2 linked regions of the Coturnix japonica genome follow. The protein of the gene in region 1 binds, or shares a complex with, the protein of each later gene. Links are inferred from orthologs where the notes say so. Each region holds a gene or a part of one and is shown on either strand. Other genes may lie near its edges.

What was found. Proteins that work in one complex are often made in the same cells at the same time.
Region 2: the proteins of KCND2 (region 1) and KCNIP2 are in contact, whole or in part, in a cryo-EM structure (PDB 7UKH), measured with the Homo sapiens proteins. The link is inferred for Coturnix japonica from reciprocal best matches to the Homo sapiens genes KCND2 and KCNIP2. Residues at the interface, in NP_036413.1 of Homo sapiens: Val5, Ala7, Trp8, Leu9, Pro10, Phe11, Ala12, Arg13, Ala14, Ala15, Ile17, Gly18, Trp19, Met20, Pro21, Val22, Ala23, Ser24, Gly25, Pro26, Met27, Pro28, Ala29, Pro30, Trp55, Asp57, Arg61, Arg100; in NP_775283.1 of Homo sapiens: Arg112, Gly113, Phe114, Asn116, Glu117, Cys118, Val123, Phe128, Ile131, Tyr132, Gln134, Phe135, Phe136, Tyr144, Leu148, Phe152, Phe165, Leu169, Ile172, Leu173, Arg180, Trp183, Ala184, Leu187, Tyr188, Met201, Met205, Ile208, Met211, His228.

Annotation. Positions count from the first base shown.
Region 1 is NC_029516.1:21,151,481-21,157,700, reverse strand, and holds part of KCND2 (potassium voltage-gated channel subfamily D member 2), read left to right. Parts: intron 1-1,399; coding exon 1,400-1,562; intron 1,563-6,220. UniProt on the Homo sapiens protein: Voltage-gated potassium channel that mediates transmembrane potassium transport in excitable membranes, primarily in the brain. Mediates the major part of the dendritic A-type current I(SA) in brain neurons.
Region 2 is NC_029521.1:19,822,365-19,827,419, forward strand, and holds the end of KCNIP2 (Kv channel-interacting protein 2), read left to right. Parts: intron 1-268; coding exon 269-393; intron 394-608; coding exon 609-678; intron 679-748; coding exon 749-819; intron 820-1,021; coding exon 1,022-1,129; intron 1,130-1,304; coding exon 1,305-1,409; intron 1,410-1,648; coding exon 1,649-1,711; intron 1,712-1,944; coding exon 1,945-1,992; 3' UTR 1,993-3,136; downstream 3,137-5,055. Other genes in the region: OGA (protein O-GlcNAcase), read left to right, coding at 3,806-3,992. UniProt on the Homo sapiens protein: Regulatory subunit of Kv4/D (Shal)-type voltage-gated rapidly inactivating A-type potassium channels. Modulates channel density, inactivation kinetics and rate of recovery from inactivation in a calcium-dependent and isoform-specific manner.

The sequences.
Region 1 (6,220 bases):
ATGCCTTATAAAGCAGCTAAACATCTATTTTACACAACATAGTCATGGTCAATAAACTAAGACATGGCCATCTATATTATGTCTGCCTGGATGAACCTTATTTGAATCTTTGAGTTAAATACCTTCGTCTTATCTTAGAAAATTCAAGTCATTCATCTTCCCCCACAAGGTGATATATGATCTCCTTCACACACAAGCTGAGCTCTTGTTGCTAGAAAGTGCTCTCTAACCATGGTTAGACAGCCCCTCTTCTCATGATTATGGGCACAATTTGGACCGTGTAATTTGAAGACTCCACCCTAACTTCTCCTGCTTCTCCAGCTTCCTTCTGAACTGCTTCTGTTTTCCAGATACCACTCTCCAAATATTGTTCCTCCTGCAGTTTTATTTCTTACCTTTTTTCTTGTTGTAAACTCCACAGTAGAAAACGTTCTGTGTCACTTCACACAAGGACATGCTACAGTCTATGTTTACTAATAGTTTAAAACTCAGTTGAAACAGAATGGTACTTGCAGGTAATGTATCTCTTTATTAAACTCTGTAGTCTGTATTTACATCCTTGTCCTATAGAATATGGCAGTCTACAAAGTGCAAATAGCTGATTTCTCTTAATAAGCTGGCACTGGAATCTCTCTACATACTTCTTAGCAACACTATAAGAAATATTATACACTTGCTGGAAAAAACAATATCCAGCATCATAAAGAAATGTGGTAAATTCCAGTCGTAGTAGTTCTGAATACTGCCAGGATTTGCAGTTCAAATTTCTTTAGTTGTTTGCACTTGTGGCTCGAGTTTCTGGGGTTTGCTTTTGGCTACGTGGAAAAATATTTAAACTATAGGAGGGACCTGTGGAGGTCAGATATTCTAGCCTCTCACTCAGAGAAGTCCTATCAACAACAAAAGATTAGGTCAGACGTCTTTCTGTTCAGCCAAGTCTTGAAAATCTCCAAGGATAGAACGTTCATGATCTCCCAGGCTCCCTGTTCCAAAATACACTGCTTTCCTAAAGGAAAGCTCTATACCAGCTTAGTGAGAATATAGATTATTCAGCTTGACATCTAACTTACCAAGTGATCTCCCTTGGATCTCACCAATGGAAAGCAGTGAGTTCTTCAATCAAACAAACAGAGGAAGGACTTAGACCCTAAGAATTTTTTCCAGAGGCAGGTCTGTCTTCATCACAATAGAGTCAGTTGGGAAGACTTGAGCAGCTTCCACCTTAGGAAGCCCAGCACTAGGCTTGCTATATAACAAATGTGTAAAATGTGTAAAATATGATATCCATCAAGTGTTATATGAAAGAGAAGAAAAATCTACTGTGCAATTAATTTATCTTGAAATTTGGTACTTAGAAAAGATTTTGTCTTTGCTAAGGGTTTTATTTTCTTCAACCCAGGTATGGTGACATGGTGCCGAAGACAATAGCTGGCAAGATTTTTGGTTCAATATGCTCATTGAGTGGGGTCTTAGTGATTGCTCTGCCAGTTCCTGTCATTGTCTCCAACTTCAGCCGTATCTACCACCAGAACCAGCGAGCAGACAAGCGCAGGGCACAGAAGGTGAGATCCTCAATTTTTCCCCTTTTGATACTGACAGTAGCATAAAGGTAAATTTTTATGTGTCTCAAAAGCGAGTATGATTTATTACAAATATGACTGCTATATATACATTACGTGCCAAGCCAGAGTTCCAGATGCAAATGCTGTGTTAATTTTAATTTAAATAAAAATGGTTTGTTTATCTTTTTTTGTCAAAATGTACAGATGTAATTACAGATGTAATTCATCCTAATTGTTAGACCAGATCTACTGTTTTTAGGCAATAACTGTAGTACTGCCTACTGAAAGCATTACTTTTCAGCAAGACTTTCTTTCCTCAAGAGTGCTCTGAGAAGAAACACAAAAAGAAACACACACACACACAAAAAAAAAACCACCTAAAACCTAAACATTACTTCTAATGTCTATCTTAACAGCCAGTTTCACTAATCCACTTCTTTAATTCCCAGGTTAACTCTCTGGGGAGTGACTATTGGGAACTTGTCTCCTTGGCACTACTTTGCTTAAAAGGCTTCAGAAAAAGCTGAATCGGGAAAAGACAAAAACAAAAGATTGTGTTGTTTTTTTTCAGCTTCCTTAGTGACTGATATCACTAAAATATCAACTAGTTCTATGACAAGACATATTTTCCTCACTGACCTACATGCACAAGTCAAGAATCAGGAAGACCTATTTGCCAGGAAAGATGCAGCCATGACAGAGCAGCACCACTGTTTCCATTCCACATCAGAAATGCCAGTCCCAATTCACTTTACTCAGCCTTCTGATGAGAAATGTCTTATACGGCCTCTCTTGACACCTGAAGCCCTGATAAGGGACTGCAGCTGATCTGCTGTTTACTCTATGGAAAAGGTTCATCAGCCAGTGGTCGCACAGGTTCTGAGCAGTCCAGTGAGAATAGGATCCCTGCCCACAGAGGTGTACAGGATGGTCATGGCTGTGAAATTCACATGTTGACCAAGGGAACAGAGGCTGAATCTGCTTCATATAGACAACAGCAATTAGAGACTATAAAATGAATAACAAAAATTTGTTATTCCTGGTCAACTTTTTGACTGATGACTCCATAGAAAGGAAGTGAAATAAGCAAACGGTGATATAATTCTTGGAAAATCTTAGAATCATGAGAAACTGAGGTACACTGCCAAGAAAGTCAGTCATAGGCTTGGGATAAAGATGTTATATCCTTTAAATAGCCATGTCTTGAAAGACTTGGGAAAATGGCTACCAGAGAGAACAGTGGTATCCCAGAGACACTTAGAAACCTGATTTCAAACACAGGCTGTATTAGTGCTCCAAGTATCATATCTCCCCTATCTACTAATTACACACATCCTTTTGCATCTTGTTTTGTCCTGTGTCCCAGCTGTATACTCCCTTCTCCCACAACCAGAAAATGTAGAGTACATAACTTTTAAACTACACTGCTTTTGTAGAGAATTTTTCATTTATATAACGTAAATGCGGTAAAGAGTGAAAGAACTGTATGTACCAGCAGAACACAGTGCTTCATTACTATGCCTCAGAGCATTGTGCCAGTCATGGATAACAGATCTGCTTGATCCCAGCAATCAATGTGCCTGTTCTGAGCTTTCATGACTGCACAGACAACCAACTTCAGATACACACAGCCTCCTACTGTATAATGTTGAATAAATTTTTCTATATCTGATTTGCACTTTACAGTGAAAAAGAGATGGAAATTGGAAAATACCTTACAAAAATTAGATCAGCAGACTGGTGGATATTCCCTACAGTCTCTTCTTGAATAGAAACTGTTTAATAACCGACTTTCTCTCCTTGAAAAACAGTGAGCTTATTGTATGTCACAAACAGGAACGTGAAGTGATGAATGGCAATTCTGCAAAATCTCGTTTCCTCCAGTCCTCAGAACAATGCCAAGAGTAAGGATCACAGATTTACTCTGACCAGGTTTATATCCTTCTTGCTTTAGAATTAAAAAAAAATAATAAAAATGGCTTTAAGGTCTGGTTAATGTAGCACTGGGTATGTTTCACTCATTTATTCTATTGCAAAACTTATCTTCCCTCTCATTTTAAAATGACTGAGAGGATATGAACCGAGTATTGCTCTGAGGGACTGAAGGAAAAGTCAGCAGAAAGAACTTACTGAATACTGCACAGCCTGTATTTATCAATATTTACCTATGAAGTATAGACTTGAATTTCACAGGCGAGCTCTAATACCTTCGTATAAGGTGTTCAGGCCACCATGTTGGCTGCAAGCCATGGTCATACCACAGCATGAGGCACTGAGGTGATGGCCCTGCCCAGCCTGTCTTCCCTTACAAAGCCCCCTCCCATTTTGCCTCCCTCATTTGGCTGTTGGCTGCAGCTCAGCAGAATGTCCTGGCAGCAGAGGTGCCTGGTCTAGCAGGTAGAGATGAGCAACGACATTAGTAAGAGAGTACCACCACCAGCAGCACTGTGACATAAACAAGCCTTTATTTTGAATTGAGAAAGATCCAGTGCCTTATATCTGTGCAGAATCCCTACCATCTAATATTCCCTGACAACGTAGTGCCATTCAAGGAACTTGAAATGACTCCCTTTAAAGGTGGCTATTATCATGGGAAAGAGATCACAAAAACTACCAGTTGCACAAAGCTTAGCACCCAATGTTACATTAGCGCCTGCCAACCATCCAGCCCTCCAGCAGGCCAGTTGTAACCATGGATTCTTAGGTGGAGCTCTGGCAGTATTCTTTCTTACAGTTGGGTTTGCAATCTTTGCCTATACAATCAAATACGTACTGAGAAACACAGTTGCAAGAACAAATAGAAGAAATCCAAGAACAAATTAGAGGTAGTTTCTGAGTGAGTGACACTCTGAGCGTCTGACTTTTGACTCTGGATAAACTATATTTTTAATTCATTTTGACCCAGGAAATTACAAGCCTGTCAGCCTGACCTTCATCCCTGGGAAAGTGATGGACAACTTATGTTCAAAGTAGAGCATAAACCCTTGTAAGAGATGGTACCTCCTGTTTGCTTCAAGAGGCTTCCATCTAGCTAAGAAAAGCGGATACTGGAATTGTGGAAATTCCTTTATCAATATCTCATAGATAAATTCAATCAAGGTAACCTTTACCATGGATAAATTCAATCAAAATAGCCTTTAGAAATGACCAAACATTTGAGCCGTAAGGAAACTTGATAGAATTCAATGACATGCTTGGAAACTAATCTCAAGGAGATAGGAGACTTACTGAAGATCCATGTGACCACCAACATATGTATTTACTGAATTCTGCACTGTCCTTCAAGATTAGAAAATAAAATAATGCTGCACATTAATGTTTGAGAAAAGAAGGAATTTATAAACATGTAATCTCATTTTGAATGCATTTTAAAGGAAAATCCTACTTCTAATTATGAAAATGCATTGTTGTAAAAGAGACCCCAATATAAACAATAAGTGAAAAATATACAAAAAAACAACAACAAAAACACTTTCTGTGCTTATCAGAACATTTTTCTCTACCAGCCTTTGATATCCAAGAATCAGACCTTATCTGGCAATAGGGAGATATATAGTCCAACCTACATACAGGAGTTAGCACTCAGGGCTTAACTAATTATTGCCTACAGTCCTATTTTGTTTTTACCTCAAGCAGATTTATTAGAAGTGTAGACAGTTTTGAAGAATGCTGCTTTTCTCAGCTAGAGACAACTGCAGGAGGTCAAGTTATTTTCATTTCTCATCAGTGCCTTCAAGTGGCAAATTTAATGACAGATGTGTTGTGACTGGTCCATACGGAAACAAACAGACGGAAACACAAATGGAAACACAAACAGAAACATGACAGCTAGCTCCAAAATCTGACTTAATGCATACAGTTCTGATTCTTTCATATTATTGTCTTCTACTTTCACATTGCAAAATACTTCGTGAAGATTGGCTGGGCTCGTATTTCATTATTTACTGGTTGTACATGATGTATTTATCTGTCAAGTAATAAATAATCAGGTACTAGATAAATATAACTTTAGGAAAGGAAAAATTACAATAACTGCTTAACAGCACCTAGCAAGCTAAAGCCAAGCTCTTGCAATAAGGAACCATGCTACCAATGCAACTTATTTTAGCTTAGAGTATTAACCTCAGTGAAATTGTAGAGATAATCAGTGGAATAGCTTATCTAAGATCTCTGAAATTCAGCACAAAAGCACTTGAGTTTACTGAGTTTGAATAGAGTGTGAAAGCAAGGTGCAACTCATGAACCTTTTTAATTGCATATCCACTAACGTACAAAGTAAACAGCATTTTCCTTTCTACTGCACACTGATGTTCTATAAATTATTTTCTATAATGTGAAGTTAACTATTAGCAGTTACTGAAAATGAGAAAAATCAGAGCCTGATTGTTCACTTGAAAACAAGTATATACAATGGATTTATGAAAGACCAAACAAACGACTTAAGTACAATGGGACTAACCTTCAGATCATTCTGACAGTTGCTATAAGAGCCACAGAAAGGCTATGAAGGAATTTTTCCTTTTTAATTGTACAAGGTCATTAAAGAAATAACACCTGTAAGGTAAGTACATTTTCAGTTTTTGATACCAAGACAGTTAAATAGTCTGGAGAGCAGCAGAAGGGAAACAAAAGGAGCTGTGTAGGTACTAATTTTAAAG
Region 2 (5,055 bases), on another chromosome or scaffold:
TTCTGCTAGAGACAAACCCCAGCACAGCACAGACCTTCAGGCATCCAGGATCTCAGCTCTCTGGGGCAGATGATCATGCCAGGGAAGAGCAGGTAGGGTTGTGCTCCCTCCTGGAGTACACCTGGCTCCAGCTGAGCAGGACACCCCAGACACCTGCTGTCCTGAGTGGAGGTGTGCAGTGTGAAGCACACCTCCTGCCCCCAGCACTGCGGGGCTGGGCAGGACAGCATGGCTTCAGCTGCCCTCTCTTCCCCCAACTTCCTTGCAGACAGTGTCGAGGATGAGTTTGAGCTCTCCACCGTCTGCCACCGCCCCGAGGGGCTGGAGCAGCTCCAGGAGCAGACCAAGTTCACCCGCAAAGAGCTGCAGGTCCTGTACCGGGGCTTCAAGAACGTGAGTAGCTCTCACTCCTCCACAGCTATGCACCCCTTGGGATGCTTTTGCATCCTGTTGTCACACTCTGAATGGCTACAAATGGCAGCAGTGTGGATGCAGTTTCCCTTGAAGCTTTGGGGGGGTTCCCTAATCCTGGGATTTAAGGGCAGAGAGCCCCAAGCATCACACCATTCCCCATGCTAATGGTGTGTCCCCTCCATTTGCCCTGGCAGGAGTGCCCAAGTGGCATCGTTAATGAAGAAAACTTCAAGCAGATCTACTCGCAGTTCTTCCCACAAGGAGGTGAGTGTGAGTCCCCCCCCCTGGTGCCCCATGTGGGGCTGCCTTCTCTCTCACTGTTTGCCTCCTCCAGACTCCAGCACGTATGCCACCTTCCTTTTCAATGCCTTCGACACGGACCATGACGGCTCTGTCAGCTTTGAGGTGAGCCAAGGAGTGGGACAGGCTTTGCCATGTGTGCCATGGGCTGGGACTGCCATGGGCAGCTGCTGAAGGACTTTGTTAGTAGGAAAAACAGTGCAAAAGCATCAACAACAGAAAGAGTTTTGTAGTTTCTGGTTGAGGGAAAAGACTCGTGGCGTTTCTGTGGGGGTATCACTCCAAAAGGTGACCACCTGCTTTGCAGGACTTTGTATCTGGGCTGTCCATCATCCTGCGAGGCACCATCGATGACCGCCTGAACTGGGCCTTCAATCTCTACGACCTGAACAAAGACGGCTGCATCACCAAAGAGGTGGGAGAGGGGTCCAAGCTGAAGCAGGTCTGCACCCAGTGGGGATGAGGGCAGGGCTCAGGGCATTTCCTTGAGGATCTCATGGGTCCTTTGGGGGTATAATGAACAGCATATGTGTGATGGGAACCAGATGGAGGCAGAGCTGCTCCACATTGCAACCCTGCCTTCCCTCCAGGAAATGCTGGACATCATGAAATCTATCTACGACATGATGGGCAAGTACACGTACCCGGCCATGCGGGAGGAAGCACCCCGGGAGCACGTGGAGAACTTCTTCCAGGTGAGCTGGGTGCATCTGTGGGGACCCTGCATGCAGGAAACACTGTTCTGGGGACAAATCAGGGCTCCAGTGAGCAGCCTGCCTGGGACAGGGTGGGATTCAAGCCCAGAAGTGCTCTCTGTAAGGGCTTTGGCAATGGCTACTCTCTCTGCTTTGCATCTGACTACCATAGAACCTGGGCTGGGGGTGCTGGGCTGTCCCCATTCCTTCAATGCCCTCCATGCTGTGCTTGTCTACAGAAAATGGACCGAAACAAAGATGGTGTGGTGACAATCGAGGAGTTCCTGGAGTCCTGCCAGAAGGTAAAGCCATGGGGCTCAGCACAGCATAGCTGGGGCTCTGCTCTGGGAGCCATGTTTATGCCATCATCCCTGTGTGGGTGGGGAACAGCACATCCCAGCATGGCCCTTGTAAGCCTTGGAGCTCCTGTCCTGTGTGTCAGAGCAGCTGGACGAGATTATCCATGGGGTAATACCAGGTTTGGGGGAGCAGCCCAGAGTGCTGCTCTGTGCCCAAACACTCCTCCTCCCTGCAGGATGAGAACATCATGCGGTCCATGCAGCTCTTCGACAACGTGATTTAGCTGTCTCCAGCTGAGCTCTCCTGACACCAGGCTCAGAGCCTGCTCCTCTCTCCACTTCTCCTTCCAGCCCTTCCTGCTGCCGGCTGCCATGCAGAGACACAGTCGGCTCCTGGATGTATCCTTCCCCCAAGGCCAGACCCACTTTCCTTGGGAGGCCCCACAAAAGTGCCACCAGAGTGTGGGCACAGCTGGCACGGGGCATCTGGCCTGGGTGGGCTTCACACACCCGATCCTAAAGGGAAAGCCTCAGCCTTGGGCTGCCATAGGGGCTTCCCTGTGCCCCCACATCATGTCCCCGTCAGCAGCCCCAGCACCGGCTCCAGCCCAAACCCTCCAGCAACACTTCTAGGAACTAAGAGTCTCGCAGCAGGCACCTCAGCTTCCTCTTGTGTCCTGATGTGGGGACGTGTCCCCCTCCTCGCTCACTCAGGGTGCTGGGCTCACTCCTGTCTGTTACAACAGCTGCCTGGAGCTGGGTGTGCACTCCTGTCCCACCTACGTATCCCTCCAAGTCCTGTCTGGGGCCTAATGTCTCTACACCAAACTCCTGCTTAGCCCCACCGGCTTCAGGTCCTATCCCGCAGATTGGCCCAGCTGCTCCCACCGCTGTGTCCTGAGGGGTAGCAGTGGCTGGGATCGATGGGGAACGGGCGAGCAAGGCTGTGCCCCACACCAGGCTGAGCCCTGGTGTCAGACCCCCCATAGGGCCCTGAACCTCAGCTTTGGGGCAGACCCTGCTGGGTCCGCTCCAGGCCTGGCTTGCGTAGAGGCGATGTGTTTTTTAGCTCTGTCCACCACACTGTTCATCTCACAGCCCTGCTCCTGGGCGGGACAGCAAGTACCCCATCCAAATAACCCATCCAAATACCCCATCCAAATACCCCATCCAAATACCCCAACCAAGTGCCCCATCCAGGTACCCCATCCAAGTACCCCAACCCCATCCCCTCCCGTCCCCCCCCCCTCCCTCACTATGCATTGGCATGGCGTGACCCCCGCCCCAGGGCATGGTGACCCACATCCCGCTTGGCATCTCCAGTCTGTATATTTTGTATTATAACGATAGGATGGGTTAATAAAACAAAAAAGACGGGGGGTGGGAGGGGGCTCAAACAATAAAATCTATCCACGATCGCTATGCACATTGCTGGTATCGCCCTCTGCCTTTGTTGGGTGTTTGGGGGGGAGATGGGGGCTCCATCGTTGCGCATGCGCGTACCCGCGGCGCGTCCGCGGGTCGTCACTGTGCGCATGCGCACACCCGAAGTAAACACTGGACTTCCGCGCCGCTTCCCTACACAAAGCGCACTGCGCATGCGCCATCTGCCACCATGCGCATGCGCGCTGCCCCGCTGCCGCCTCTCCCCTCCCCCGGGGCCTGTCGCGCACGCGCATTAAGCACGCTCCAGCCGCCCGCGCATGCGCAGTGTGCTGCCGCGGCCTCGCCCCTCCCCCCGCCCGCCTGTTGAGCGTGCGCACTGCGCTCTTTTCCACCTTCGGCGCATGCGCGGTAGGCGGGCTCTCCCCTCAGCCCGCCAGTTCCCCGCTGTGTCTCGCTCCGCTCTGCCCGTTGTTGTTCCCGGTGGGTTGAGCCTTCGGGCCGCGCTCCGTCTGCCCGTTCCCGGTTTCCCCCGGCCCCGCGGGCGGCGCTTCGGTTCCTCAACGAGCTGCGGGCGGAGCGCTGAGGACCGGTTGGGGCCGGTTGGCCGCGCAGGCGCAGGGCCCCGTAAACAGGAAGCGGCGGCGGCGACAAAGGGCTGCGGGGAGGAGGGCTCGGCCCGGACACAGCGCGGTCCTGGCGGCGGGCGGCAGGATGGCGCACAAGGACGGGCAGGCGGCGTTGGACGAGCCCCAGGGCAGCCCCAACCCGGCCGCCGTGCCCGGAGCTCCCTTGGAACCCTCGGGAGCCGCCACGGGGCCCGTCCCGGGGGGTGAAGAAACCGACACGGAGACGGAGACGGCGCTGGGATCCCGCCGCTTCCTCTGCGGTGTGGTGGAAGGTGAGAGCTGATGGGGGGGCCGACATCCCCGGGGCCGTTTGTTGGGGGGGTTGCGGGGAGCAGGGCCCCATCTCCTCCCTAGGCCCTGAGCTGGGGGCGGGGAGCGGCCTGGCCTGGCAGCTGCTCGGTGGGGCTGGCACCCACTGCGGGCCGAGGATTCCTAAGGGAGGCCGGGGCGGCGCGGCTGCTGCTACGTGTTAAAAGGGGGAGGAGGGAGGGAAGCGCTCCCGTGCGGTTATCCCAGCTGGACGCACGCCGGGGGGGCTGAGGTTTGGTTACCAGGGTAGGGAATAGGTGATTGCAGAGACATCTGTTATGCGATTAATATCAGATGCTCCTTCAGTCCTGCAGTGTTAACGTTTTAACAGCGTTATAGAGTGTTTCTTTTACATAATTTGTTGTGGAGGTTCTATTCAAAGGTTTTAAGTCGTTCCAGAAGCTTCAGAAGAGAAGGGCTGTTTTTCTGTTCCGCGGTAACTACAGAATTTATGTGTGTTTTTGCTGAATTGGTTGAAGTAGATGGTTGAAAGCCAGCGAGAAAAGTGTTTTTGTTCCCTACTTAATTAGCTGCCTTGGAATAGCTCTACATTCGGTGGAGTGCTGTTATTTTGGTACCTATAATGACTCTCCAGGAGGGGAACAAAAGCGTTAACAGATGAGAAGCGAAATGGGCAGTTTATCAAAGTCAATATCTGCCCTGCTTGCAGAACGGCTTTTGTTCATATCTTAAACAGAGCATTGGGTTCCAGCATCCATCACTGTGTGTAAGGGCTAGTTTGTGCCTTTCCTTTGTGGCATTGCTGGGGCTTAAATATAGTCAGTGTGGAGTTGGATGGGCAGGTTATTAAACGTTTCTCTATGGAGAAATATCCTTTGAAGACAGGTAGTATAGAATAGAAATAGACAGGTAGTAGTGGGCAGAAATAAAGATTGTAACTGCATGATTTCTCCTCACACTCCTGAATGATACACCTGGAGCACAGCACCACCTTCCCATGCAGTACTGTGTCAAAGCACTGTGTGTACACCATCACCATGTTTGGGAGCTGTTTTAATGACATTA